Linked DNA regions of Lonchura striata. The protein of the gene in region 3 interacts with the protein of the main gene of each other region in a biochemical or structural test. Links are inferred from orthologs where the notes say so. Each region holds a gene or a part of one and is shown on either strand. Other genes may lie near its edges. The genes, in order: FRMPD4, KCNA4, DLG4 and potassium voltage-gated channel subfamily A member 1.

What was found.
Region 1: the proteins of DLG4 (region 3) and FRMPD4 interact in a biophysical measurement, tested with the Homo sapiens proteins (2 studies listed by IntAct, with this or other methods). The link is inferred for Lonchura striata from reciprocal best matches to the Homo sapiens genes DLG4 and FRMPD4.
Region 2: the proteins of DLG4 (region 3) and KCNA4 form a complex in vitro, tested with the Homo sapiens proteins (8 studies listed by BioGRID and IntAct, with this or other methods). The link is inferred for Lonchura striata from reciprocal best matches to the Homo sapiens genes DLG4 and KCNA4.
Region 4: the proteins of DLG4 (region 3) and potassium voltage-gated channel subfamily A member 1 form a complex in vitro, tested with the Homo sapiens proteins (3 studies listed by BioGRID and IntAct, with this or other methods). The link is inferred for Lonchura striata from reciprocal best matches to the Homo sapiens genes DLG4 and KCNA1.

Annotation. Positions count from the first base shown.
Region 1 is NC_134604.1:98,557,576-98,564,548, forward strand, and holds the start of FRMPD4 (FERM and PDZ domain-containing protein 4), read left to right. Parts: upstream 1-3,967; 5' UTR 3,968-4,098; coding exon 4,099-4,187; intron 4,188-6,973. UniProt on the Homo sapiens protein: Positive regulator of dendritic spine morphogenesis and density. Required for the maintenance of excitatory synaptic transmission. Binds phosphatidylinositol 4,5-bisphosphate.
Region 2 is NC_134608.1:61,417,334-61,424,732, reverse strand, and holds the start of KCNA4 (potassium voltage-gated channel subfamily A member 4), read right to left. Parts: upstream 3,009-7,399; 5' UTR 2,307-3,008; intron 1,493-2,306; 5' UTR 715-1,492; coding exon 1-714. UniProt on the Homo sapiens protein: Voltage-gated potassium channel that mediates transmembrane potassium transport in excitable membranes. Forms tetrameric potassium-selective channels through which potassium ions pass in accordance with their electrochemical gradient.
Region 3 is NC_134636.1:1,785,963-1,793,463, reverse strand, and holds the start of DLG4 (disks large homolog 4), read right to left. Parts: upstream 3,010-7,501; 5' UTR 1,924-3,009; coding exon 1,894-1,923; intron 1-1,893. UniProt on the Homo sapiens protein: Postsynaptic scaffolding protein that plays a critical role in synaptogenesis and synaptic plasticity by providing a platform for the postsynaptic clustering of crucial synaptic proteins.
Region 4 is NC_134607.1:4,304,979-4,311,845, forward strand, and holds the start of potassium voltage-gated channel subfamily A member 1, read right to left. Parts: upstream 3,004-6,867; 5' UTR 2,660-3,003; exon of another isoform or gene 2,424-2,659; 5' UTR 2,363-2,423; intron 1,589-2,362; exon of another isoform or gene 1,312-1,588; 5' UTR 1,142-1,311; coding exon 1-1,141. UniProt on the Homo sapiens protein: Voltage-gated potassium channel that mediates transmembrane potassium transport in excitable membranes, primarily in the brain and the central nervous system, but also in the kidney.

The DNA.
Region 1 (6,973 bases), on a different chromosome or scaffold from region 3:
GCTGCTAAGGTGCAGTGAAGAGTCTCCATTTAAGATTCTCAGTGACAGATTCTGTCATAAACTAATCTTAATTATATTTATGTTTACCTGTTTCCTCTGTAACTTAACTGCATTATGAAAAGGTTCCTTATTTTTCTGTTAGTAGCAAGCTATCCAGTAATAGCAGACTTGCACGTGGCACTGATGAGTAAGTATCATTTAGGTAAACTAAATATATTTAGAGACACCTTTCATAGTTGTTAGCATGCTATATTTAGAGAGCAAGAGCTGAGTGATGGATTTAGGTAGGGAGGTGTAGGAGAATATGGCTAGAAATTTAAGTGAGGAGTCATCTGTAGCAGTAGCTAAGAAGGGCCTTCAGTGATGATAATGCATGTAAAATCCTTCAGAGAACATTCTCCCTGCTCTTCTCATGGTCAGGGGAGAGAAAATGGCTCTTCCAAAAGGGAGTTCACTGCCCAAGAGAGATACTAGTTTCTGCATCCCATTCCTTGGAAGAGTCACTTTTTCTGTGTCAGCAATAGATCGGGCTAGAGGGGACAAGCGTCACTAAGCCAAAGATTGCTTTTCTGAATACCTCCCACAGGCTCTCTGAGGGCAATGTTCAAGTGAAATATGTATGGAGCATTTTGGATTTCTAAGAGCTGTCTGCTGTCTTTGGGCTTGCTTGGACTTCAGAAGAGATAGGAAACAATGCAGTGGAAATGTGCATATATGAGACCAAGTGGGAAAAATCATGGCATAAAAATTTTTATTCCTTCTTTCTGAGGCTGTCTGTAACATCCTTTTCCATATTGCCAATATGTCTGAGTGTTTGACAGCATTGAAAACCTGGGTTATTTAAAAAACAATCCTTAAGGAGTTTAAAATTCATTGTCTATTTAAAAAGCACAGTCATAGGGAAGGAAAGGAAGGGGAGTGGTGAATGTATGTGGATCCTGGAAGCAGGGCTGCAGAAAGGGCAAATCTGTGTCAGGCTTCTGAAGAGGAACCTTGGCTGATGTGAGTCGTGGTTGGTTTAGAGGGCATTTGCTAAGAGAAATGGTATAGCAAGGGGTGGTGGTACATTTAACTGGGCTGGATCATGGCTTCAGGATGACTTTGTTCCCTCTGTTTTCACATAAACTTTTAGTAGTTCTTAACTTTGCTTGTGATCATTGGTTGCCTCTTCAGTAAAACAGGTGCATCTTTGTTGCCCTCTTAGTTCAGATAAATAAGTTTCCATAGTTTTCTATGGAAAACTATAGTCTGAGACCAGATAACTTCACACTTATGTGTGTTCACATTTCCCCAACAGTTGGAGTCAGCAGTGGCAAGTGTAATTGGGTAATATTTTTGTATAAATTGATTTGGTTTTCAGTTTCAAGGAGGTTCCAAAACAATGAAGCCCTTCAGAATAGCACTGGATTTCATAAGGATATAACATCTCTGCCATCTGTTCTTTAGTGATAACTGATATCTTGTGAAACATTTTTATGACACAGCTATTGTTTTCTTTTTATTTTATAATTTTGTTTTATTTTCTTCAGTTACAGAGCACTGAGCATATTCTTGAAACTAGTCTGTGCCTTACGAGTGTGTCCTGTCTGATGGTACATCAGAATCAGAAATGCAAAAGGTTTCTATCCAGTGCCTGCTTTTTCTCAAAAGATAGGAGCAGCTGCTTGAGCAGTGGACCTCTTAGCCAAAAGTCAAATATCAACCCCTTAAGCACTGTTTGACAGGGATTTGGCAGCTACAGCCATCCTGAAGGGTAAGTAGAGGACAAGAAAGGTGAGAAACGTTGCCCCCTGGTCCCCAGGGTCATGAAGAGCTAGGTGTGTAGGCAAAAATGAGACTCCTGGTTCCTGAGGGGAGAACAGACTGTGATCTGTTCTCTACACATTGGGATGTGCTTCCTGTGCTGCTAGAACTGAGAGCATCCATATTTGAAGGGGGAAAAGAAAAAACATCCCAAATACTGTTAAAAGGAAAAAGTAGGTGTATATAGTAGATAGCCCTGTACCTCTTGATCTTTCAGCATAGCTAGAGATTTTATTCCCTTGCTTCATGCATCATGCCTGGAGCTAATGGCCATGTGTTGTTGAAGTTAAGATTTCTGTGAAATGGCTCTTGCTACCACAGTGGTGCTGTCACTAAGGAGCTGCTCTGACATCTGGCCTGTCCTTTTAATTCCCAGTTTGCTGGATGTGCAGGGTGTGACCTGAACAGGCTTGTTACTGAATGTCTCCTGGATGGAGATGGTCTTTGATGCAAACAGTTGTGCTACCTTGCAGCTGAGGCAGTTGGGTGGCCATGGGAAGAGTAAAATGAGATAAGAGTACAGATGAGATAATCTGCTTATTTAATAATTTCTCAGCAGAAATTTGAAAACTAGAAAGCAGCAACTAGCTGATGACCTGGATGCTTAGGAAAGGGAAATATTATAGTCTAAAAGTCCAAATATACTGATGGACCAAATGGCCTTCTTGCTGTAAAAAGAAAAAAAAAAAAAAAGAGAGAAAACAAAGAAAAAAGTAAAATAAAATTTTGATAATGCTGATAGATGTTACATGTATATGTATGAGGAAAATATCCTTAGAAGAATTTATGTTCTTCATCATTCCAGTCCAAGGAGCTGTTCATTTTCTCCAGCCTTCATAGCAGCAGTAGTATTTCAGTGTTTCTGATGTATTTTTCTTCCATCACATGCTATCCAGTGCCAGATTTACAACCTATGCCAATGTAAGTGACTAGGTACTGTTTCTTCCCACTTCCTCCCAAAATGTATATCCTAAATTTGCCTTCTGGAAAACCTTGGTGCTACAACTAAATATGTTGAAACAATAGATATGAAATAGATAGTGAGGGGACCACTTAGCTCACCAGTTTATTTGGGGTTTATGCTCTGTATTGTTTCCCAGCTGAAGCAGGCAGATATTTAGTGTGTTCCACATTCAGGTGTGCAAATAGAGCAAATAGTTCCTTCAGCAAGAGGAGGAAACCGGGTTTGGGTATAATCTGGTTTACCTGGTGGATGTAGTTGGGTTGTTTTTTTTTTTTCTTTGTCAAAAAACACATTAACAACTTAAACAAGAGGTGTCTGGAAATAGCTATATGTGTGCTCCATAGTAAATTGTAGCGTTTCATCAATTGAATGTAATTGGTAAGCTGTTATTTGAGAGAAACAGACACAGAGGTTTCTCCTTAGCAAATCAGCATTTTGCATGCACAGCATTTCCTTCAAAGATCAGTTTTTTCAACTACCATCCATTTCAAAACACATCATAACAATACAATTCACCAGGGTAAGTCTTTGTTATATGAGGAAACAAAAATAAAAATGTGCCTTAGTTTACTTTGTGGGAATTTCTGTGGTCAGAAATGAGAGTAGGAACCAGCAGTCTCTTTGGGAGTTGTGAGCTCAGGCATTCGATCAGTTGGAAAAGATACTCACAGATGTTAAACCTTCAGGCATCCATGCACTCCATTTGTAACTTCTCTATTAATGAATTTGTGATGATTATACAATTTCAATTTGCCAGAAGAAAAAAAATGGGCTACAATTCCTAAGACGCTATTGTGTTATTCTGGTGTCTTTCACTAAAATGAAAAGCCCTGCATCAAAATGCAGGGTTGTCAGAGGTCTTTCGAGAGTAGATGTGCAACAAGGAAAATATAGAATGAGAGATTAAATGACAAGTGTAGTTTCTTGAAGGAGCTCAATTTCCTTTTCTGAAGAGAAATTTTCTTCAGGATTTGAAATACTATTGCAGCATAGCTACTTGGCAGCTTGGCTTGTTCGTGTGTTATGAGAATGATGCTAATAATTCCTACTGACTGCTGTGACCTCTGCTGGAGGGAAAAGAGTCCATTTCCTTGTAGCCCTTTCTCTCAAAGCCTGATAACATATTCTTAATTTATTTATTTACTACCTGTTTGTTCCCTGCAGCAAATTTCCCTGCCTGCCAGGTGGCTGAGGTAATTTACATTGTCATTTAATTCTTGTCATAGATGTAGTTCAAAAACAAATATCTGATGAAATTTTTAACCTAACACGGCTTCGGTTCTACGGGTGTATGCTTTGTATTCTTTGTGGGGCTTAATTTAACTTTGCCTATGAATGTCTGCCTTAATGTTTACATCCACAGCTACATTTCTGTATTTGTACAACACGCCTTGCTCCGAGCGTTCAGAGATGTCAATGTGTAAGTCTGGATTGCATCACCTTTCTGAGTGCATACCCTGAATCTGCAGTCAGATCTACTCAGTTTGAAGGCTGCTGTTGCAGTTCTGCCTCCATTTAGTTGGAAACTACTGACAGTGGAATCATTTCAGAATAACAGATCTTTGGCTTCAGACTGTGAGGATAGCCACTAATTATGTATTTCTCATTCTTCGGTACTGCAAACATTGGTTTACATTTTGACTTTATGCTCCAGTTCACTAATTAGATTCCTCTTTAAGAAGATGCATGTTTAGTATCATTGTTTTGGAAACATTAAGAGGTTTGGGGTTTTTGTTTGTAGGGTGGAGAGTTTTTTGAGGAGTTTGTTTGTGATTTTGTTGTTGTTTTGCTTGGTTTTTTTTTTTTTTTTTTTTTTTTTTAACATGGAGGACTTTTTGCTGTATCTAAAGCAGGCCTGTCACTGGCTTCAGATCAAGAACTGTCCTTTGCTGTGTTGGCTCTGCCCCAGAGGGGTTGTAGTGTGGAACAGCAGTGAGCACACCTGTGCCTTGTTTTTGCAGGGACTCCAAGCAGTACATTGCAGCCCTGTTGTGTCAAACAGCCAAAACTTTTTGAGCTCTGACCCAAAAAGCATGACTCAGAGTTCTGCTTGCTAGCTCTCAGCAGCCTAGGAGGAGCTTACTAGAGACACACGTAGGGCCACGTGGTGTTTGTTCTCAGCACATTTGTGGGCAGTGTTGTTGTGGTTTGGTTGTAAAAGCAGCCCCCTCAGATGGGGAAACAGGTCAGCAGAGTGCCAGGTTTTGGGTGCGAGTGGGAGGCTTTCAGGGAGGAGTGTGAGATGGAGTTAGCTGCAGCCTTGGAATCTCTGCCTGCTCCTTTCTTCTGGTGAAATGGTGTCTTTCTGTGCCAGCTTAGCTGCCTGTGGTGAGACATGCAGACAAACCAGGTGTTGGAGCCACAGCTGTGACACTGGCAGAAGATGAAAATAGCTGGGAGGGACAAGCCACAGGATTCATGTGATGCCTTAGGTTCTTGTGTGTGGGAGGGAGGGAGCTCAGGGTTCCTGTTTCTGTCATGTCTCTAGGGGCTGGAGAGGCAACAAAAGTTGATGTAGAATGAAGCTTGAGTAGAAGAATCCTAAAGAGGAAAGTTCTGGGAAAAGGGAAGGCTTCTGCAGGACATAAAGTAATTTGGGAGGAATAACAAATGAAAAAGTCTAGATAACCATAGTTTTTTTTCCCTTCAACTTAGCCTGTGTTCTAGCAAACAGCACAGAAGAATCAAAACCCTCAGTATTTCAGAAGGTCAAAATCTAAATTAATGTACTGGGCAAAACCAAAATGGTTCCATTAATGGTGCTGAAAGTATGATCGTCTCTTGCTGGTTGGATTGTTTAAAGGTCTTAATATACCTTTGCTGTTTAGAGGGGCTGTGTTGGCATCTCCATCTTCTCTTGCTCCTTGACAGGCAGATTTTACCAAGCTTACTTCTTCATGTCCAAGGCTTTGACGCTTAGTGAGGGAAGCACTTAAACTCTTGGAGATTATCATTACCATAGTGTGGCACATGGAGAGGAATTTACAAACCTAGAGTCTGTGGTTCTCATCTTTATTGATAGACAAGAATTGATTATAAAAGAACTTCTATGCTATTGAAATTAAAGTTATAAAAGCAAATTCCAGAAGTGGAAACAAATATAACAGTTAAAAAAATAATATATTTTGAAAAAGCCCAAACTTTAGAATCAGTTCTGGGTTTTTTTTTACTTTTTCTATAAAATCTTTATCCTTATTCAAGGGAGCAGTGGAATTTGAACATAGTGATATTTACATAGTAAAGTGTCAAGTTATTTCCTTTTCCTGTAAGATTGATATAATTGATATTTCTATTATCAGGGGAAAAAAGTCTAGCTGCCTGCTTGACATCTCATCATCTCCTTTAAAAATCTTCTAAAGACCTTGTGACAAAAGGCAGTCTTAAGAATCCTAGCAACCACTTATGGATGATAAGATTTATTCTATTGTGAACTTAAGTAGAATAGAAGAAATACAATGGTTGTTGAAATAGGAATGGTGATGTTTAATATATACATCACCTCTACTGCTTTTTTGGGGAGTGGCACTCTTCCTGTAACCAGTCTCCAGCTGCCTCATACTGAGGCAGCACTCTTTGTGTAAAGTATTTAGTTATTCCTTTGTATTCACATGAGTACTTCTCCTTATGTGGAAATCTGAAATACCACTGAGTGGAGGAGTCCTTACAGCATCCATAGGGACAGGTTGTGATTGCATTTCTATGGCTGGTGAAAACCTGAAATGGTGGTGGATGCAGAAGAGTTTGGATCACCTGTACTTAGGGTAATACTAAAATATCTAGATGGCAGCCAGTGTGAGTTTTGTAGTGCCAGCAGTGCAACTTTAAAGCACCTTTAAAGACCAAAGGGTTTGGTTTTTTAAATTATTGTTTGCAGTATTTTCTCTTGGTGTGTTGTGACATTACAGACCCAGGTATGCAATCCTTAGGACTCCAGTGCTGCCCACTTTTCTCCAAATTACATCTCTGTGGGAGTAATCCAAGAAAGATAGAAGGAGGACTTTCTTCTTGATGGAAAAGGACTGAGTTTCTGCATAATCACTGCAATATTCCTTTGTTTGAGTTGTAGTTTGAAGAAATACTTTCACAGGTCCTGTCTCACAAAAAACAATCATGGTTATCTTGACTTCCAAAACTGCTTGTGTACTTCCAGAATGAAGGGATAACATTTCTCATGTTTAGTTGTAGAGTTTGCATCTCTTGATTTGT
Region 2 (7,399 bases), on a different chromosome or scaffold from region 3:
CCTGTCGAAGAAGTACTCGTTCCTGAGAGGATCGAAGTACCTTCCCCGCTTGGCCGGATCCCCCAGCAGCGTCTCCGGGAACTGAGCTAACGTCTTCAGCTGGGTCTCGAACCGCAGGCCCGACACGTTGATCACCACGCGCTCACAACACTCGTACTCGCTGTAGCGGACGGAGCTGTAACCCCCGGGGCCTCCACCGTCATCGGGTGGCTGGTCCGAGTATGAAAACTCATCCTCCCCATAGTCATCACTGTAGTAGAGCTTCCCTTCCTCCTCGTCATCTTCATCCTCATCTACATCCTCCTCTTCCTCCTCGCTCAAGTCCTTCAGTATCCTCTCCTCAGAGCCGCTGAGCGGCAGCAGCTCGGAGCAGGGGAAGGAGGCGCCACACTCCCTGCTCCCCAAGCGGTGGCTCCTCTTCTTGCCCTTCTTCCTCCTACCGCTCTGGCGGCAGGGCAGGCCACTGCGCGAGGCGCTCCCGCCGTGCGAGGAGGAGGCCCCGCGGGCCTGCTCCTGGTGGTAGTGGTGGTAGGGTCCCCCTCCGCCCGCCGCCCCACCTTCCACCGCCGCCGTGGCTGCCGCCACAGCCGCCGCCGCCGCCGCCCTGGACTGCGCCAGCCGCTCCCGCTCCCGGGCCCGTGCCTGGGCCGCGTATCCGTAGGGCATGTGGGTGCTGCAGCCGGAGCTGTCCGCGCTCACCATGGCGACCTCCATCCTGCAGCTGCTTGGTTTTGTTCGTAACCGCTGGCCGTAACAGGGTTTTGCGTTATTTACAGCACCACCGCGACCTTCGCTGGGAAGTTCAAAGCCATTTGCGTTTGGAGGACAGTCTGCTGCGCATCAAGTGTGGCAACGTGGTCACAACACTGAATCTGTACTTTGGAAAACCACACATCCGCATTTTCCTCTTCTCCAGAACGTCTGACACAAGCTACTGCTTCGCTAATGAGAAAAGATGAAATTCTCAGATCGGACCAGAGAACAGCTGAGACCTTGTTCTTCCATCCACCAAGGCCCTTTATTTTCATTTATCTCCTGCAGCCATCACAGCTGTATCTGATCAGAATCACGACTGCCTCGCAGGCTATAAAGGCTGCATTCCTCAGGAAAAGAATATGCAAACCAAAGGGTACCTGTTCTCCGCAGACAGTTTTAGCTCATCATTAAAACTAAATGCAAATAGACTCTTTGCTCATTATTTGTTCCTGGTAATGCTTTGGCCTAGCAAACGTATTGTTTAATGTCCTTACTTGGAGAGTTGAAGTTAATTCCAGCCATCACTTCATTTACACAGTGAGGAGGTCTTTACAAATCCATTCTTCAGCCTGTCAACAATGTCTCAAACCTGGGAGCAGCACCCAGGGCATCAGCAGCAGTGGTAAGAGGAGGAGGAGGAGATGAAGACTGAGAAACTGGCTCTGAGGTCCCCATGGGACACAGGGGAGTGGATGGGTCACCCTTTGGTTATGGTCATGCAGAAGAAGCACTTAACCTGAGGCACATGCACAAACACACAAAAATAAACAAAACAAAAAGGGAAAAGATTGGATTGTTTTCCTAAAAGGTCAACCGATCAAATGAAACTGTGTCATCTATTACCATGGCATTCAAATCTTCTCCTGCCCACACTATTCACACTTCTACATTACACACACACCCACATCACATGCACAGAGATTTTGAACGACTCTGTGGGTAAGGATGTGGGTGGGTATGTCACATATATATAGAGACAGATACAAAATCCCCACCCATACAAGCACTTGCATCCATACACAAACATATGCATGCTTCTGAAACACCAACACATATAAACACTAATAAAAATACTGCAACGCACAATGCATTCAGGTCTTTGAGCACATACGTAAGAGATACACCTCCATGTATCCATACGAAACGTTAAAGAATAAATGTATCTTGACAAAGAGCTTTTGTTGTATTTGCAGAAACGCATCAGATGCGGGAATGTTACATTTTAATCCACAGCAGAATTGTGTTTCGGTCACAATGAACATCTCACTGGATTTAATTTGGAAACGGGCACGTACAATGCTTAGCCAAGTGAAAATACCCTGATATGTCAAGAAAACAACTGCAGGTGCACTGAAGCAACGTCTACATGCAAGCACACACACAAAAATACCCACAGCCCCTCACACCCCCCTTTGAAACAGAAGCCTCATTTATAGCCACATCTATTAATACACCAGAGAAGGTGAACGCGAACTATTAAACGACGCTATTTTTCAAATCGTACCTACATGTCATGCAGAAGAAAAGCCTAAAAACACCGTTATACTTACCGATCCTAGGCAGAGAAATAGCAGCGCTGCTCCCGCTGGTGTAAGGAGCGGGGGACAGCAGCGCGGAGGGGCTGTGCCGGCTGCTCCACGCTCGCAGGTGGCTGTGGTCAGTGCGCACCACAGGTTGGCGGGTTATTCCTGCCCCTTCCAGCCGGCTGCCGGGGCAGCGAGCCGGGGAGGCGGCCGGGGCTGGGGGCACCGCGCACCGCCACAGCCGCTCGCCTCGGCATCGGCCACAAGGCAAGGAGCGAGGGTCTCGTCCCCACGGGGAAAACGAAGGCGGTGTGCGTGTGCTTGGCGTGTGCGAGGCGGAGCAGGCGCGACCGCCGGTCCCGGCGAGCCCGGCTCGGGCGGCAGCTCCGTAAATCAGCGCTGGCTAAATCCGTGCGCGGAGCCGGGCTCCGGCGGACGCAGGACGGGGCCGGCTCCGTGCGGCGCCTGCCCCCGGCACGTCCGGGGCTCAGCCGGCTGCCGCCCGCTCCATCCACTTGTTGGCTGCTCCCACTCGGGGCGACGCGGCCGGGGAGCCGCCGGCCGGAGCGCGGGCGGGCGCTGCTGGCGGCCGAGGGTGCCGGGAGATGATGGGAGCCGGGAGCGGATGGGAGCCGGGAGAAGATGGGAGCCGGCGGATGATGGGAGCCGGGAGCTGGGCCAGTCCGCGGCACCGCGCCCCCGGCGCTCCGAGCCGGCCCTGTTGCTCCGGAGCCGCCGCCCGCCGCTGCCGCCGCTCCCGGCCCGCCGCCGGCCCCTGCCGGCCGCCGCCCGCACTGCGCCGGCTCGGCTCGGCACGGCACGGCTCGGCTCGGCACGGCTCCTGCCCCCGCGCCCTGTTAACGCCGCCGTTACCGGAGTCGATAGCTGTCCGCCCCGAGCGATGCTGCCAGCACCGGCCTCTGCTGCTCTGGGCGCGCCCCGAAGGAAGCGAAACGCTTTGTTGAGGTCGCTCGGAGAATTCCAAAGCCAAGCCCGGATCAAATTTGGCACGAGGAGAGAAGATGTGCCCGCACCTGCACGGCGCTGCCTCGCTCGGCCCCGAGCCGAGCAAACATTCCTTCTGCTCCTGCAGCCCTGTCGCAAATGAAGCCAAGTCAACTTTCACTCCTAGTTCTGTGCCTGAACAGAAAGCAGGTCCTACCTAGTTCATGGCTAGAGGGTACCGTTTTGTGTTTGGGAGTTAACACCTCAAATCCTGCAACAAATTCCCTCTCCCCGCTGCAGCACGAGCAGGGTATAGACTGCCTGTTCCTTTTGCACCTGGAAAACTGAAGCTGTGGCACATTCCACTCCCTGTAAGGGATGGCCATGGAAATACAGCTTGGCTATATTTGACCCTCCACCTCCAATTCTACCACCTCAGTACAAACTGCAAGCACTCCCCTCATGGAGAAAAAGACTGAATCGAGAAGCAATCAAAGGCAGCGCCAACACCAGACACTTTGCCACAAAGGGTTTGCAACTGGAGACAAATCCAACATGTGCAGCAAATAGGTTGGGCATTTCTCTCATGACCTAGCTCCTCCTCCATAGAGCAACCAAGAGAGCCCAGTGGCTATTTCCCTTTAGATCCCCAGCAGCACAACCCACATTATCCATGTACTTCTGCTGCCTACATCAGTTATTGCCCATACCTTTCATCCCACTCATGTCAGTGGATGACCTATGACTATTTAGGGGAGCATAGGGGATCAGCCAAATCAACATATTGCCTGCCAGGCACCAAGTCGTGCCAACAGTGCCGTGAAACACATAAATAGCACCTAGAGCTAACTGTTTTTTTTTAACATTCACAATACTTCAGGTTCCATAGTCAATATAATAAATCACTAATGTCATCCCAAACACCATTAAAATACTGTCTCCTGTCAGCACAAAAGCAACCCAAAATCTGGGTTCAAAAACAGTTAAAAACATCTATAAATTAATTTCTAATACCAAACCTCAGATTCTTCTGTAACCTGGCACAGGGGCATACCAAAGTCATGGATCAAACCCCTACCATCACTTCAACACAAGGACATGTATGAAGCCATAAAAATACCAGTTATCATAGGTAAACTTATGGAATCATTAGGATCACCTAGACTCACTCCTTCATCAGTAAAGTTTAATTCTGGGGCATTTTCCGGAGCTCAGTCATTTCGACCCTAACAAATCTTTTGTTGCCCTTTATCTGTAGAATTTGAACACCCTTTTATTTCTTTTTTGAGATGTTTCAAGGACTTGGGATAAAAGATAATGACTTATTTACCTTCTACTTCTCTTTCAAAATCTCAGATGCATGGTCTTACGTTATCTTGTGACTGTTAAAATGAAATTTTCAGTGGACATCTGAGTGAAAAAGACAAGTAGAAACAGACCAATCACTTTGGTATTCCTTTTTGAGCACTGTTATTTTGTTTTTATTAGCTAAAGCATGTTCTCGGGCAAAGATAAACAAACTGTGGTGTAGGATTCTATGCACACGTGATACACACATAACTGACAATGGGAGAAGCAGAAGGCTTTTTTGTGCTTTTTAAAATCCATTCTAATGTAATAGGGATCACGTAACCACATGCATTTCAATCTAGCTCAGAGATCTAACTTGATCCAATTTTTAACTAATTTAAAAGCAAAAAACAAGCTTTAAGTATATGCAGATAAATACTTTGACTCATTTCATTCAGCTTTCTATTTTCATAGTACTCAGAGAACAGTTTTTATTTGAGAGCTATTACATTTCCTCTGCTCCTTCACATTGATAAGGGATAATATCATTATCCCTTATTAGAACAAAGAGAGAATATCTGCACATCACTATCTTTGATAGAGATGTTGTATCATAGTAAAGAATCTCTAAGATCTCTGTCACACAGGTTTGTCCTGTTTTACTGTGATGCAGGTGAGAAATATGCACCACTGGTTAGCTATGAAAAAATGCACAACGACGTAATACATTTCCATGCAAAGGGAACATGAGATTTACAAAGTTCTTTTATGTTCCTATGCCCAATATTAATTTATGCTGAAATTCACACTGGCAGGGTCTGTCCTCAGTCCAGCCCTCACCTCCCTGCTGTAATCTCTGCAGTGAATAAGACTGAACTACAGTACTACTGCACTTCCAGACCATGAATAATTCTACTTTCCTTTTAGCCTTCTCTTTTTGCTCTTCTGCTCTTCCCTAGGCTTGCTTCACTGTTATTTCTATTCCCCTCCAAGGCAACACATCCAAGGTCCTGTAAGATTGGGGGCTCCTTTCAAAACAAGCAAAACCTTGCAGCAGTGGGAGCTCAGGATTATCAGGTGAAAAGACTGGTCACTACAGCATTTCAGATGTGCTGAGACATGATTCAGAACTTGCATTTCCCTCTCCTCTCAGCTGTTTAGTGCTGGAGACCCTTAGGTACCAAAGTATAGCAGTGAATTCTTGCCTCCACAAATAAGTTTTGTCTCCCAGCGGTTGTTGAATTGAACTTCAGGAAGTTCATATTTTATTCATATTTTACTAACTAGGCTCTGTAAGACTCTCCTGTCAAAGAATCTGGCTCAAGTACTCTTCTTTTGAATATGACTGGCAGTGTTTAATGAGACACTTGGCAGACTAAAATGCAGCCTATCCTCAGTCTAGTTCTTCCACACAACCTGTATGAAAAGCACATCTGTTCATTCCTTGTGCTTCAGCAGGATAATCCAAGGAAGTTGATGCTCCAGAGAACAGCAGCCCTTTCATATTTTCTCAGGGAAAGTTTGCAAAACCATGGCCATTTACCACTGAGTTTAGGATGAACAGCAGTAAAAACTGATGATATTTTTACTGGGAGAATGATTTCCTGTACCAGAGCTTGGATTTACTCAGAAAACAGGATAAAAATACCACGTATGTTCTATTTTTGGACTTGGATATTTCTCCATTCATTCTGAGCAAACAGGGACTCATATCAAGTCTATTCTGAAAAACGACAATAGTGAAAAATTTAAAAAAAAAAAAAGAGTAGTCTGGAGAGAAAGCTGCTAAATGAGAAACCAGATTTCCAAGATACCCACAGCCACATCAATCATAATGCTGACATCCTTTTTCTATCCAGTATAACAAGGGTTATTTATCACCTCTCTTTTTTTCTCTCCTAATAATTTGATTTTAGCTGAAATGGGAGAACCTGGATCATTCACTGCGCCTTCTTTTAGATATGCCTAGTAGTAGTGAAAAGGGTGGATCTGCAGTCTGGAAACTGTTATTTTAATTAAATCATGAAGGAGATGAATTAGCCTCACAGAATTACTTAAATTACCATATCATTGGATTTGCTCTATTTCTGCATTTAAGAATAAATGTATTATTCTGAATACCCAATTTTCCAACTATGCTGACAGAAAACGTAATGATTATAAAACCTGGAAATATCAGATGCTGTTAAAAATCCCTGTTTGCATATATTTTTGTCCAGATCAAAAAGCATTACGAGGGCATAGTAGACTTATTTCTCCCTGGGATTTTATAAGGAATATTCTGCAGAAAAAGCAGACAGTAGGATAATAATTAATGTAAATTTGCCTTATGATGCTAACCGTGACTTGAGGAACAACTGGAAAGAAACATGTGTATGACAAGAGCTCAAAACTATTCCTGTTAAAATATATAATAATTGTTAGCTGGAACTTCTGGCATCTCATGCTCCAAGAACATGCAGCAGCAAACTGTTATGTGAAGAAGCACATAAAGAGAGAAAATTTAGATGTTAAGTATGACATTAAATGTAGCTCCCATATATATTTATAAGCAAAAAAAGGATATTTCTATGAAGTTCTAGAAGATAGATGATGGTAAATTTCTAATAAATATGTTTTATGATTTCTATTTAAGAAAAGGAAGACATGGATGAGGGAACTGTAGGATCAGACTGCAAGTCAAAATACACCATTGTAGTTGTAGCAGTCCAAACCATACTAGAAAGCTCTACTTACAGAGATTGTTACACATAAATTAGATGATAAATATAAATTTACTGGACTAGAACATTTCCTGCTAAAGATTCAGGGCTGTAACTGCAGTAGGCACACAGGTGTCATGGTTCATAATTTGATGGCAGTCAGATGCAGCTTCCAGATGAATC
Region 3 (7,501 bases):
TTTTGGGCGGGATTGGGGTTTCAGGGTGAATTTTCGGAGATTTTGGGGTTTTTTTGGGGGCAGATTTTGGGGGGTTTTGGGCAGATTTTGGGGATTCCAGGCGGGATTTGGGATTTCGAGAGGGATTTGGGGTTTCAGGGTGAATTCCAGGAGATTTTGGGGTTTTGGGGGAGGATTTTGGGGGGGGGTTGGCAGATTTTGGGGTTTTTTGGGTGTATTTTGGGGATTCCAGGCGGGATTTGGGATTTTGAGAGGGATTTGGGGTTTCAGGGTGAATTCCAGGAGATTTTGGTGGTTTTTGGGCAGATTTTGGGGGTTTTGGGGCGGCTTTTGGGGGATTCCGGGCGGGATTTTGGGGTTCTGGAAGGGATTTGGGGTATTTTGGGCGAATTTTGGGGTTTTTTGGGTGTATTTTGGGGATTCCAGGCGAGATTTGGGATTTCGGGAGGGATTTGGGGTTTCAGGGTGAATTCCAGGAGATTTTGGGGGGTTTGGGGTGGATTTTTGGGGGTTCCGGGTGGGATTTGGGATTTCAGGCGGGATTTGGGGTTTTTTGGGCAGATTTTGGGGTTTTTGGGGTGGATTTTGGGGGGTTCCGGGTGGGATTTGGGGTATTTTGGGCGGATTTTGGGGTATTTTGGGCGGATTTTGGGGGGTTCCGGGCGGGATTTGGGATTTCAGGTGGGATTTGGGGTATTTTGGTCGGATTTTGGGGGTTTTTGGGCAGATTTTGGGGGTTTTGGGCGGATTTTGGGATTTTTTGGGCGGATTTTGGGGGTTCCGGGCGGGATTTTGGGGCCCCCCCCCCGCCCCCACGTGCGCCGCCCCTCCCCCGCCGTTGCCATGGGAAACGCCGCGGCCGCCACGTGGTGACACCCCCGAGATTTGGGGGGACACCGCCCCTCCCCCACCCCCAAAAACCCCCAAAAAACCCCCAAATCCCCCCCGGGAACCCCAAAATCCAGCAGGGGTCGGAAAACCCCCCAAATTCTCCCCCAAACCCCCAAAATCTGCCCCAAAACCACCACAGGAACCCCAAAAAATGCCCCAAAATTCCCCAAATCCCCCAAATCTCACCCGGAGCCCCCCAGGACCCCCCAAATCAACCCCGGAGACCCAAAATCCCCCCAAATCCATCGGAACCCCCCAAAATCTCTCCAGATCCCCCCAAAATCCTCTCGGGATCCCCAAAACCTCCCCAGGACCCCCCAAATTCCCTCCAGACCCCCCAAAATCCCCTCCAGGACCCCCCAAAATCCCCCAGGACCCCCAAAACCTCCCCAGGACCCCCAGATCCCCTCGAGACCCCCCAAGATCTCCTTGGGACCCCCAAATTCCCCCAAAATCCCCCCAGGACCCCAAAAATCCTCTTGGAGCCCCAAATTCTGCCCCCAGCCACATCGAGACCCCCAAAATCCCCTCGAGACCCCCCCCAGACCCCCCCAAACGCCCCCAAATTCCCTCGAGACCCCCCCAAAAAATCCCCAAACCCCTCGAGACCCCCTCAAATGCCCCCAAAATCCCCTCGGAGCCCCCAAAAAACCCCAAAATCCCCTCGAGGCCCCCCCCCAAATCTCCCAAAAATCCCCCCCCCCCACCAGGAGCCCCAAATCCCCCCAAATCCTCTCGAGACCCCCAGATCTCCCCCAAATCCCCTCAGGACCCCCCAAATCCCCCCCAGACCCCCCCAAAAACACCCCAAAACCCCTCGAGCCCCCCCAAAAACCCCTTCGGAGCCCCCAAATCCCCCCCTCGAGTCACCCCGAATCCCCCCCACCCCCAGGAGCCCCCCAAAAAACCCCAAATCCCCCCAAAATCGGCCCGAATCCTGCCGAGACCCCCCCCCAACAAACGGCGGCGGTTTTGGGGGGAATCCGCGCGGTTTTGGGGTACCTTGGTGGTGACGATGCACAAACAATCCATGGCGGCCGCTCATGGGCCGGGGGGGCCGCGCGAGGAGGAGGAGGAGGAGGAGGAGGAGGGGAGGAAGGCTCGGGAGGGGGAGGAGGAGGAGGAGGGGGGGGGGATGGGGAGGATGAAGGCTCCGGAGGAAGAGGAGGAAGAGGAGGAGGAGGAGGGAGGAAAAAATGGGGGGGAGGAGGAGGAGGGTGGAGAGGATGAAGGGATGAAGGCTCCGGAGGGAGGGGAGGAGGAGGAGGAGGATGAAGGGATGAAGGCTCGGGAGGGAGGGGGAGGAGGAGGAGGAGGATGAAGGCCCCGGAGGAGGAGGAGGAGGAGGAGGGGGGGGGGGGATGAAGGGATGAAGGCTCGGGAGGAAGAGGAAGAGGAGGAGGAGGGAGAAAAGAGGGGGAGGATGAGGAGGATGAAGGGATGAAGGCCCCGGAGGAGGAGGAGGAGGAGGAGGATGGGGAGGATGAGGGGATGAAGGCTCCGGAGGAGGAGGAGGAGGAGGAAGGCTCGGGAGGGGGAGGAGGATGAAGAAAAGGGGGGGAGGATGAGGAGGAGGAGGAGGATGAGGAGGATGAAGGCCCCGGAGGAGGAAGAGGAGGAGGATGAAGAAAAGGGGGGGGGGGATGAAGGCTCGGGAGGAGGAGGAGGAAGAGGATGGAGAGGATGAAGGGATGAAGGCTCGGGAAGAAGAGGAGGAGGAGGAGGGGGGATGAAGGACCAGGATGGAGGAGGAGGAGGATGAGGATGGAGGGGATGAAGGGATGAAGGCTCGGGAGGAGGAGGATGAGGATGAAGGGATGAAGGCTCGGGAGGAGGAGGATGAGGATGGAGGGATGAAGGCTCGGGAGGAGGAGGAGGATGAGGATGGAGGGATGAAGGCTCGGGGGGGGGAGGATGGAGAGGAGGAGGAGGAGGAGGAGGATGGAGGGGATGAAGATCTGGGGGGAGGAGGAGGAGGAGGAAGAGGAGGAGGAGGAAGATGCGGCAGCGGGAAGGGAGGAAGAGCGGGAGGAGGAGGAGGAGGAGCGGGAGGAGGAGGAAGGCTCGGGAGGAGGGGCCGGGAGGAGGAGGAGGAGCGGGAGGAAGGCCCGGGAGGAGGAAGAGGAGGAGGAGGAAGATGAAGGAGCCGAGGGGATGAAGAAGGAGGAAGAGGAGGAGGAAGATGAAGATGAAGATGAAGATGAAGATGATGAAGATGATGAAGATGATGAAGATGAAGATGAAGATGATGAAGATGAGGATGATGAAGATGAAGATGAGGATGAAGATGAAGATGAGGATGAGGATGAAGATGATGAAGATGATGAAGATGAAGATGAAGATGAAGATGATGAGGATGATGAAGATGATGATGAAGATGAGGATGAGGATGAAGATGACGAAGATGAAGATGAAGATGATGAAGATGAAGATGATGAAGATGAAGATGAAGATGATGAAGATGATGAAGATGAAGATGAAGATGAAGATGAAGGAGCCGCCGGGGGGAGGAAGAGGAGGAGCAGCGCGAGGAGGAGGAGGAGGGAGGGATGAAGGCTCGGGGGGGAAATTCGGGAATTTTGGGCGGAATTTTGGGGGCAGAAAAGTCGGGAATTTGGAGGGGGAAATTTGGGGATTTTTTGAGGGGAAATTGGGGAATTTTGGGGTTTTGGGGAAATTTGGGGATTTTGGGGGTTTTGGAGGGGGAAATTTGGGGATTTTCGGGGGAAATTTGGGGAATTTTGGGGGGAAATTTGGGGAATTTTGGGGGGAAATTTGGGGAATTTTGGGGGGAAATTTGGGGAATTTTGGGGGGTTGAAATCGGGAATTTCTGGGGGAAATTTGGGAATTTGGGGGGATTTTGGGGGGGAAATTCGGGAATTTGGGGGGTTTGGGCAAATTTGGGGGTTTGGGGGGATTTGGGGTGGAAAAATTGGGAATTTTGGGGGAAAATCGGGAATTTTCGGGGTTTGGGGGGAAATTTGGGAATTTTGGGGTTTAGGGGGGGAACTTGGGAATTTTGGGGGAAAATCGGGATTTTTAGGGGGGATTTGAGGGGAAAAATGGGGATTTTGGGGGGTAAAATTCGGGATTTTGGGGATTTGAGGGGAATTTGGGGATTTTGGGGGGAAATTTGGGGGGTTTGGGGAAAAAATGGGGATTTTGGGGGGAATTTGGGGGGAAAATGGGAATTTTGGAGATTTAGGGGGAAAATCGGGAATTTTGGGGGGAAATTTGGGAATTTCTGGGGGAAATTTGGGAATTTTGGAGATTTAGGGGGAAATTGGGAATTTTCGAGGGAAATTTGGGCAATTTTGGGGGAAAATTCGTGATTTTGGGATTTCAGGGAGGATTCGAGGGGGAAAATTGGGAATTTTGGGGTGAGAATTTGGGGTTTGGGAGATTAGGGGGAAAATTGGGGATTTTAGGAGGATTTGAGGGGAAATTTTGGGAATTTCGGGGGAAATTTGGGGATTTTGGGGAGAAACTTTTGGGATTTTTGGGGGAGCGGCAGCGGCGGGGGGAGGGGCGGAAGGGGGGGAGGGGTTGGGGGGATTTCGGGGATTTTGGGGCAATTTGGGAGATTTTGGAGTGAATTTTGGGAGGTTTTGTGAGGATTTGGGGTTTTTTGGGAAATTTTGGGTTATTTTGGGGAATTTGGGGTTTTTTTGGCGGCGATTTTGGGATTTTTGGGGAAATTTTGGAGTTTTTTGGTGAAATTTTGGAGGTTTTTTGTGGAGATTTTGGGTTTTTGGGAAATTTTGGGGTTATTTGGGGGAATTTGGGGTGGATTTTGGGGGATTTTGAGTTATTTTGGGGAATTTTGGGGGGGTTTTGTGGCGATTTTGGGATTTTGTATTTTTTGTGGAGATTTTGGAGTAATTTGGGGTTTTTTTGGTGGAAATGTTGGTTTTTCTGGGGGTATTTGGGGTTTTTACGCGGAGATTTTGGGGGAATTTTGGGGTTTGGTGAAATTTTGGGTTATTTTGGGGAATTTTGGGGGTTTTTTTGGTTGCGATTTTGGGATTTTTGAGGGGATTTCGGGTTGGTTTTTTTTGTGAGGATTTGGTTTATTCGGGGGGAGATTTTGGGGTTTTTTGGGGAGATTTTGAGGAAATTTGGGGGATTTTTTTTGGTGGGAATTTTGTGGGGGTTTGTGGGGATTTTTTTAGGGGAAAATTTGGGGGGAATTTGGGGGATTTTGGGGATTTTTGGGTTACCCGGGGCCGGGGCTCGGGGCCGCTCACGGAGCTCTCGTAGCTCTCCTGGATGTCTGGGGGGGAAAAACGGGGTGAGAGCCCAAAAATTCCCAAAATTCCCCAAAATATCCCCAAAAATTCCCAAAATTCCCCAAAATATCCCAAAAAAATTCCCCCAAATTACCCAAATTCCCCCCAAAATATCCCCCAAATCCCCCAAAAATCCCCAAAATCGCCTCAAATCACCCAAAATCCCCCAAATCCCCCCAAGTTCACCCAAAATTCCCCCAAATCCCCCAAAATTCCCCAAAATCTCCCAAATTTCCCCCAGATTTCCCAAATTTCCACCAAATTTCTTCAATTTCTCCCCAGAATTTTGGAATTTCTCCCCAAAATCCTCAAATTTCCCCCCAAAATCCCACTCAAATTCCCCCAAAATTCCCAAACTTTCCCCTGAATTCCTCAAAATTCCCCAAAAATCTCTCAAGTTTCACCTAAAATTCCCAAATTTCCTCCAAATTCCCAAATCTCTCCCCAAAATCCCCTAAATCCCCCCAAAATTCCAGATTTTGCCCCCAAAATCCCCCCTAAACCCCCCAAAATCCCATTCAAACTCCCCCAAAATTCCCGAATTTTCCCCAAACTCCCCCAAAATTGCCAAATTTTTCCCAAAATTCCCCAAAATTCCCCAAATTTCCCCTAAAATTCTGGAATTTCTCCCCAGAATCCCCTAAAAACCCCCCAAAATTCCAAATTTTTCCCCCAAATCCCCCCAAAATTCTCCCCAAAATTCCCAAATTTCCCCCGAAATTCCCAAATTCCGCACCCAGCAGGGCCTGGAACAGGCGGCTCAGCAGGACCCTCAAAACCTCCCAGGACCCCCCAAAATCCCCCAAAAAATCCCCAAAATTCACCAAAAATCTCCCAAATTTACCCCAAAATTCCCAAATTTTTCCTAGAATTCCCAAATTTCCCCCAGAATTCCAGAATTTCTCCCCAAAATCCCCAAATTTTCCTCCAAAATCCCCTAAAAAACCCCTAAAATTCCCAAATTTCCCCTCAAAATCCCCCCTAAACCCCCCAGATGACCCAAAAATCCCCAAAAATCCCCCAAAATCTCCCAAATTTCCCCCAAAATTCCAGAATTTCTCCCCAAAATCCCCTAAAAACCCCCCAAAAATCCATATTTTCCCTCCAAATGCCCCCCAAATTCCAAATTTTCCCCCCAAATCCCCCCCAAATTCTCCCCAGAATTCCCGAATTTCCCCGGAATTCCCGAATTTTCCCGGAATTCCCAAATTCCGCACCCAGCAGGGCCTGGAACAGGCGGCTCTGCAGGACCCCCAGGAGCTGCCGGGCCCGGAGCCGGGGGGGGACCCCCAGAAACTCGTCCAGGAGCCGCCGAGCGCCTGCGCCCCAAAATCGGGAATGGGACCCCAAAAATGGGGAGGGGACCCCGAAATTGGGATTTGGGAACCCAAAATTGGGATTTGGGACCCCGAAATTGGGGAGGGGACCCCGAAATTGGGGAGGGGAACCCCAAAATTGGGATTTGGGACCCCGAAAATGGGATTTGGGACCCCAAAATTGGGATTTGGGACCCCGAAATTGGGATTTGGGACCCCAAAATTGGGATTTGGGACCCCCAAATTGGGATTTGGGACCCCAAATTGGGAATGGGACCCCGAAATTGGGAATGGGACCCCGAAATTGGGAATGGGACCCCGAAATTGGGAATGGGACCCCGAAATTGGGATGGGAACCCCAAAATTGGGATTTGGGACCCCGAAATTGGGATTTGGGACCCCAAAATTGGGATGGGAACCCCAAAATTGGGATGGGAACCCCGAAATTGGGATTTGGGACCCCGAAATTGGGGAGGGGAACCCCAAAATTGGGATTTGGGACCCCGAAATTGGGGAGGGGACCCCGAAATTGGGATTTGGGACCCCGAAATTGGGGAGGGGACCCCGAAATTGGGATTTGGGACCCCGAAATTGGGGAGGGGACCCCGAAATTGGGATTTGGGACCCCGAAATTGGGATTTGGGACCCCAAATTGGGGATGGGACCCCAAAATTGGGATTTGGGAACCCCAAAATTGGGAATGGGACCCCCGAAATTGGGGATGGGACCCCGAAATTGGGGAGGGGACCCCGAAATTGGGATTTGGGAACCCCAAAATTGGGAATGGGACCCCCGAAATTGGGATTTGGGACCCCGAAATTGGGGATGGGACCCCGAAATTGGGATTTGGGACCCCGAAATTGGGATTTGGGACCCCGAAATTGGGGAGGGGACCCCCAAATTGGGATTTGGGACCCCAAATTGGGGAGGGGAACCCCAAATTGGGATTTGGGACCCCCAAATTGGGATTTGGGACCCCGAAATTGGGAATGGGACCCCAAAAT
Region 4 (6,867 bases), on a different chromosome or scaffold from region 3:
CTCCAATTGTCACAGGGTACATGTCACCATAGCCCACAGTGGTCATGGATACCACCGCCCACCAGAAAGCATCAGGGATACTTGTGAAATGAGACTCAGGTTCTTCAGCCTCAGCAAAATATACCGCACTAGAGAACAAAATCACCCCAATGAAGAGGAAGAAGATTAGTAAACCTAGCTCTCTCATACTTGCTTTGAGGGTCTGTCCCAAAATCTGGAGGCCCTTAGAGTGTCGGGAGAGTTTGAAGATTCGAAAGACTCTTACCAGTCTGATGACTCTCAGGATGGCCAAGGAAGTGGCCTGCTCTCCTTTCTGAGTCCCCTCCCGCTCGGCCATCTCGGTGCCCAGGGTGATGAAGTAAGGGATGATGGCCACAATGTCAATGAAGTTCATTATGTTCTTGAAAAAATCAGTCTTGCTAGGGCAAGCGAAGAAGCGCACCACCAGCTCAAAGGAGAACCAGATGATGCACAGGGTCTCCACAACAAAGAAGGGGTCTGTGAAGATGTTAGATTTGTAGACCTGGGTGGTGTTGTCAGTGCGGTGCACTGTGTACTCCTTGTCCTCCTTCAGCTCAGGTAATGTCTCTAGGCAGAAAATCACGATGGAGATGAGGATCACCATGACAGAGACTATGGCAATAACCCTTGCCGGCCCAGAGCTCTCTGGGTACTCAAAGAGGAGCCACACTTGGCGCTGGTACTCCCCCTCCGGCAAGGGTCTCTCCTCATCTTTAATGAATCCTTCATCTTCCCGGAACTTCTCCATGGCCTCCTCGCCCAGCTCATAAAATTTGATCTCCTCAGAGAACATGTCCAGGGGGACATTGACGGGCCGGCGCAGCCTCCCCCCGGACTGGTAGTAGTAGAGGATGGCGTCGAAGCTGGGCCGGTTGCGGTCGAAGAAGTACTCGTTGCGGAGCGGGTCGAAGTAGCGCATGCGCTTCTTGGGGTTGCCCAGCAGCGTGTTGGGGAACTGGGCTAAAGTCTTGAGCTGCGTCTCGAAGCGCAGCCCCGCAATGTTTATCACCACGCGCTCACAGCACTCGTGGTCGTCGTGGGCAGCGGGCTGGTAGCTATCCTGGGGGTGGCCAGGTAGCGCAGAAGTCTCGTCCATGTTCTCTCCAGCCATCACGGTCATGGTGGCACAGAGGAAAGGGGACCAAGGGGCAGGGGAGAAGTGAGGGAAAGGGAGGAGGAGGAGGAGGAGGAGGAGGAGGAGGATGGAGGAGCACAGGGAGACCCAGGGCGATGCAAGGGTGAGGGGGTCAAGGTGGGATGGGGAGCTTGAGGAAGGGGTGGAAGTGGAGCCTAAGGGATGGAAATACCCAAAAGGGGAAATGAGAGGCGGGATGAAGGGAGAGGCATCAGGGACGATGGAAGGGTGAAGAAAGAGGGAAGAAGTACCTTTAGGGGGGGCAGAGGGCAGGTAAGGTGAGGGGTCCTGTCCCCCACACCGGGAGGCTGAAGGTCTATGGAGTGCACCCCCAGGCTGGGGTTCCCCTCCCCAGCCGTCTCCTTTAGCCTTTAACTCGATCCGTCCACTTTTCTCGCTGGCTCGACCATCGCCGCAGCTGCTGCCACGAAGCTACCACACACACACATGCACACGCACACACACATACACATAAAATAAATAAATAAATATAGAAATAAATATATAAATCACGGGCTGGCTGGGAGGCGAGTCCTTGCAATGCCAACTCAGCAAATTTTCCATCACCTGCCTCTTCCTTCCCGACTCCCACCACCACCACCACTGCCCTGGTCCTCTCCTCTTTTGCGCTTGGGAGGGAGGGAGGGAGGGATGGAAACACTCTGCTTCGAAGGCTTAAACCTCACTTGCAGAATGGGGGCTGCCAGGGAGGAGAGAAACAGAATAAACCAGCCCCCGAGCCCCTCCACATACACACACACACTCAGGCGCAATGGATTGGCTTTCACACCAGCAGGAACATCCCGTTCTGCTCACTACGGCAGCACATGCGGAGTTCTACGCGTTCCTACACATCCCCGGACATGCACCAAGGCCTCCAAGGCAGGAAGGTGCCCCGAACTCATCGGGAGGGTTTCCCAGGAAACTTCAGCGGGGTCAGCTCCTGCAAGGAGCCTCCCGAGCACCGCGCTCCCCGCTCTGGAGACTTAGCTGAGCACTGACAACTTCATCACACCAACCGGGTGGCGGTGGAGGAGGAGGAGGGGGGGGGGGAGATTAGGAGGGGGAGAGCAAAGCATCTCCTCTCCTGCTTTGCAGCAGCTAAAGGTAACTGAGAGAGAGACAAGGGGAGGGAGGTCGACATCCCAGACCCAAAGCGTCCAAAATTGAGTGGAACATCGGCAGGGAGAAGGGGCTTTTCCTTACCTGCTCCGGGTGAGACGCGCCGCTTAGGAGTAGGAGCCAGTGCCGGAATGCGTCAAGTCGCCTTGCAGCAGCATCCAAAAAAAAAAACAAAACCAAAACAAAACAAAAACCGCAGTGGCAAACTTAACCCTCCTCCTCTTGCGCCCCTCTTTATAACGCAGCGATCGCTTTACAGGGCTGCCTGCGAGACACTGAAATATTCATACACTGTCTTAGGCTGCACCAAGGGCGAGTGGGCTTAATTAGTTTCTGCCGAGAACCGCAGTGGGGGGTGGAGTGGAAAAGAGCGCAAAGTACCTTTTCCAAAAGGCTTGAGTTAGTCAGTAAAATCAAGGAGTCTTAGATAGCTGCTGGCTGTCCAGCTCTCCTCCCTTAGGACAGCTGGAAAAGGAGCCGGGCGCTGGTTAGCGGCGGCGGCGGAGATGTCAGAGCGCCGCAGCCCTGCAGCCGCATCCCCGGAGTCGGGCTTGGCTCGTCCCGGCAGCAGCAGCGGCGGAGGCAGGAGGAGGCAGGAGCTGGACAGGGCTGCTGAACGCATAAGAGCGAGGAGCAAACTCCAGCCATTTCTTGACGCTGCAGCATCAGCAGAAACCTGAGAGCTGTTTGGTGCAGCTCGGGGACCGGGAGGGCGGGGGAGCCGGGGGCCGGGGCCGGTGGAGGAGGGAGGGATGCGCGCTGCCCCCGGGCCGGCCGCCCCCGCACGCTGCGCGCCGCGCCCCCGACGCAATGCGGGCGGCTCCGGGATGGGGCTGCGGGATGGAGCCGGCAGCATCCCGGCACGGGAGCCACGGGCAGCCCGCTCAGGTGCGCTGAGCAGCCGCTTCCCGACGCGCCCAGGGACGGCGGGACAGCGCTCGGTCCCCCCGCAGCACCTGCGGCGGAACGGGGCCGAGCATCCCGCACGGAGCGGGGCCGGGCATCCCGCACGGAGCACATCCCATACGGAGCGGGTCCGAGCATCCCTCACGGAGCACATCCCGCACGGAGCGGGGCCGCACATCCCGCACGGAGCGGGGCCGAGCATCCCGCACAGAGCGCATCCCGCACGGAGCCTGGCTGCGGCTCCCGATCCCCCTGGCCCCGGCCCGCCTCGGTACCGAAGGAGGCTGCACAACCGGAACCTCCCGACACGCTGGTGGAGGCTAAAAATCCCGAGCGGAGTGGCTGGAATTGGGAGGGTTAATGGTCAGGCAGGGACAGTGCCCTTCCATACTGCTTTATCCCAGCGAAGTTGTTTAATTGATGAATCGCACAACTTCGAGGTGGAAAAGACCCATTATGTCATCAGCTGGCCTCCCCTGCCAGCACAGGATTGTTGCCCACAGTGTCTGATCGCTTACATTATATAAAAGCCTGCTGCTCGCTTTGTCAGGGCGGCAGCGGTGATCAAATCCAACCCGTGCCTGTGTAATTTGAAGCGCTCCAAGAGCTGAGTAACACCAAGTCCGTGTTTAACAGACCTGGTCTCATTAGCTTTCCACTGCATAATACATTAACTTCACTTAAGATCACCACCTTGGAAGTCCAAAAATACTTAACCACCTGACCTTCCTGGTGGTTTCTGTTTCTTCTTCCTTTCCCCTTACTTATGCCCATGTTTTGTTGTTTGGGGTGAAGTTTTTTGATGATGTTGTGGGTTATTTTTTTTTTTTTTTTTTACCAGAGCAAAAACCCTTTTAAAAACCTCTACCCCTGGCAGTGCTTCGATCACTAGTTAGCATGCTGCATTCACCATCCCTGTGGAAAGATAAGTGCAAAGAAACAAACAGATCTCCTGTCTAGCCTGGTACAAGGGTGGGGTTTGCTATTGTTTGTTTTGGGTTTTGTTTGCTTGTTTGTTTTTGGGTTTGTTTTTTTTTTTAGTATCACACATGCTGAAAGTTTTGTGAGAAACTTCTGGTGAAGCTGTGGGCAAGAGAAATGTCTGCCTCTGCCACTCCCAGGTGAAACAATCAAAACACGAAACAAAAAGAGAGAGTCTTCTTCCAGTGAAAAATAAAGCCCAATTTTCTGTCTGAAGTTCAGCAGCTCAGCATCAGCCCCCAGCCTTGGACCATGCAAAATCTAAACACCCCCAAAAAACAAAAGGCTATTCCCATCAGCTAAACCAACCAGGCTGTTTTTCAACCCCTTGAGAAGCCCAGTGACAGCCTTCTTGTCAACCTCCTCTTATGGCAGTGAATTGCATGCCTGGCTGCCACAGCTGGCTGCGCAGAGTTCTGGGAGCTCTGCACTCGCTGTGCTCAGAGCTGCTGGGCAGAAGGAGCTCTGGAAGTGAGCACTTTGTCCCCCTGTCCCAGCCCAAAGGATGCTCTGGATTGGGCTGAAAATGCAGATTTGACAAGCAGAGGCCCGAGCTCTCGGTGCTGCTCTGCCCTTGGCTTTCTGCAGGATTGCAGGCAGGGCTACACATTCTGCTTTTGCATCTGGAAAACAGGACTGTAAAGTGCTTCCTTGCCTGTCACAGCTCCTTAGGCTGCTGGCTTCTGAGAGCTGCCTTAGCACAGCAGAACCCAAATCTTCGTCGGGAGCTGTGTGCACAGAAATAAAAGAGGAGTGATAGCAACCTTAGCTTTCCCATTGCACCAAAAGCACAAATTGGGATATTGCTCTCCCCTCTCCTCATTTTGAATAGCTTTGGACTGTGGGATTTCTCTTTGCAGTCTAACTACCATTACTGACAAGCAGTCACACGGGAAGGGAGGGATCTTTCTAAGTGGGCTATTAGCCATAGGTCAATAAAATCTGGTTAAAGTACACAGACTAATGAACAGTGTAACTAGGGCTTGCAAGAAGGTCGTATGTTACACATTATAGGGCTAAGTAGCTTCAATTAAATGTTGAGGAATGGAAGGAGAATCCAGCTTGCTGCCAAATTCAAAGTCAGGCTGCTTCTATTTTCTACCTTCTACATTAGCAGCAGCTGAACTGGTCACCCCCCCAAAGAGCCACACTGAGAAGTTCTCTTCAGGATCAAAATTTTTTCAAAAGGAAACTAAAAATTGTAAAAATTTGAGCAGCTTTTTGTGGTGGGAAGTCTGGTGGTACTGTTGTGATGAGAAAGAGCAGCAAGGGGGATTTTTTTTGTTGTTGTTTTCTTTTTTTTTTTTTTTTTTGAAAGAAAGAATCAAGTTGTTTATTAAAAAATCTTGTGTGATGTGAAGATTTAAAAAAAAATTGTATTGAATGAATGTGACTCTGAAACTGGTTTAAAAAAATAAGCATTGGCTTTATACAGTGAAACAGGCTTTTAATATTGTCAGCAGGGAACCTGGAAAATCCTGATTGAAATCAATGGATGCAGAAGCACAGTGGATTTCTGAGCATGGCATCATTCCCGTAAGTGTCTTGAATGCCCCCCAAAATTTCCTCACCTGAAAGAGACATTTTGTGAGATAAAAACCATTGTGAAATCCAGTGGCAAAGGATGTCCTGGTTGCTTGAATACTATGGATGCTCACAGGCACTGTAATCCCAATGCATCTAAGCCTGGAAACCAACCTGGACACATTATAGTTTCATTCTGAGCTGCCTGAAGCCACCAATGAGTTGTGCAGGTGTCATCACACACCTCATTTAATGGCCTTGGGAGGCAGAGGATAAAGTGAGATGTTCTGGCCCCAGTTTGTGGTGCAGAGGCTCTGTCAATCCTTCTTGGATTCATAAAATGGAAAGAGTCAACAGATGGAACCAAAGGGGAGCTTGTGGTGTTGACAGTTGGGTTTTCTTCCTCGAGGGCAACAAAGAATCCTTTAAAAGCTTTTAATCTTTTTGCTAATATCCTTCAGTATTACTGTGCATTTTTTGTGACCAGGATAATCAAATCTCATGCTTCAAAGAATATTGATAGCTGATGGGAGATGACAATTACTTTGGTTGCCTCTTGTTATATAATTTAATTTTTTCTCCCGTTCCCTTTTAAAGCCTTAAAAATGGGCCCTCTGTGATCAAAAAAGGAGTGGACCTGTTGCTACACAGAAGGAAGACAAGAGCTTGGGAGTTATCCCTGTGAAGAAGGAAACAGAAACTGCCCTCACTCATATGATAGTTGTGCCATTTGGACCAGCCTGGAGAGAAAAGATGTCCCTGCCTTGCCTCTACATCCCACATCAGCAGGCTGGAAAGGTGCAGAGTGTGGCAACACAGAATGGCTGGGCAGAGAAGAACAAAAAATGTTCTTTATTAGGTTGGGGTTGAGCTTTCTTCTGTCCTCCTCAAAAGTAGTTATATAATAGATAACAAAATATATATAAATATATAAACAAAGTGCCAATCCACTGCTGAGCATATTCAGGTTTTTAACACACAGGACTTTTTAGTTAATGGGAGCCACTTTTGGCTTCCCATAATTGGATGATTTAGTACAAGATTTCATAAAAACACCAAAGCAAGAACATATTTATCAAGAGTGCTGCTGGCCACCAAGTGCAGAGAGCAGAGAGTGACCTTTCCCCATGTCAGGAGGAGTGAGCACCACTGTCAGAGAAGGGAACAACTGAGGAGGA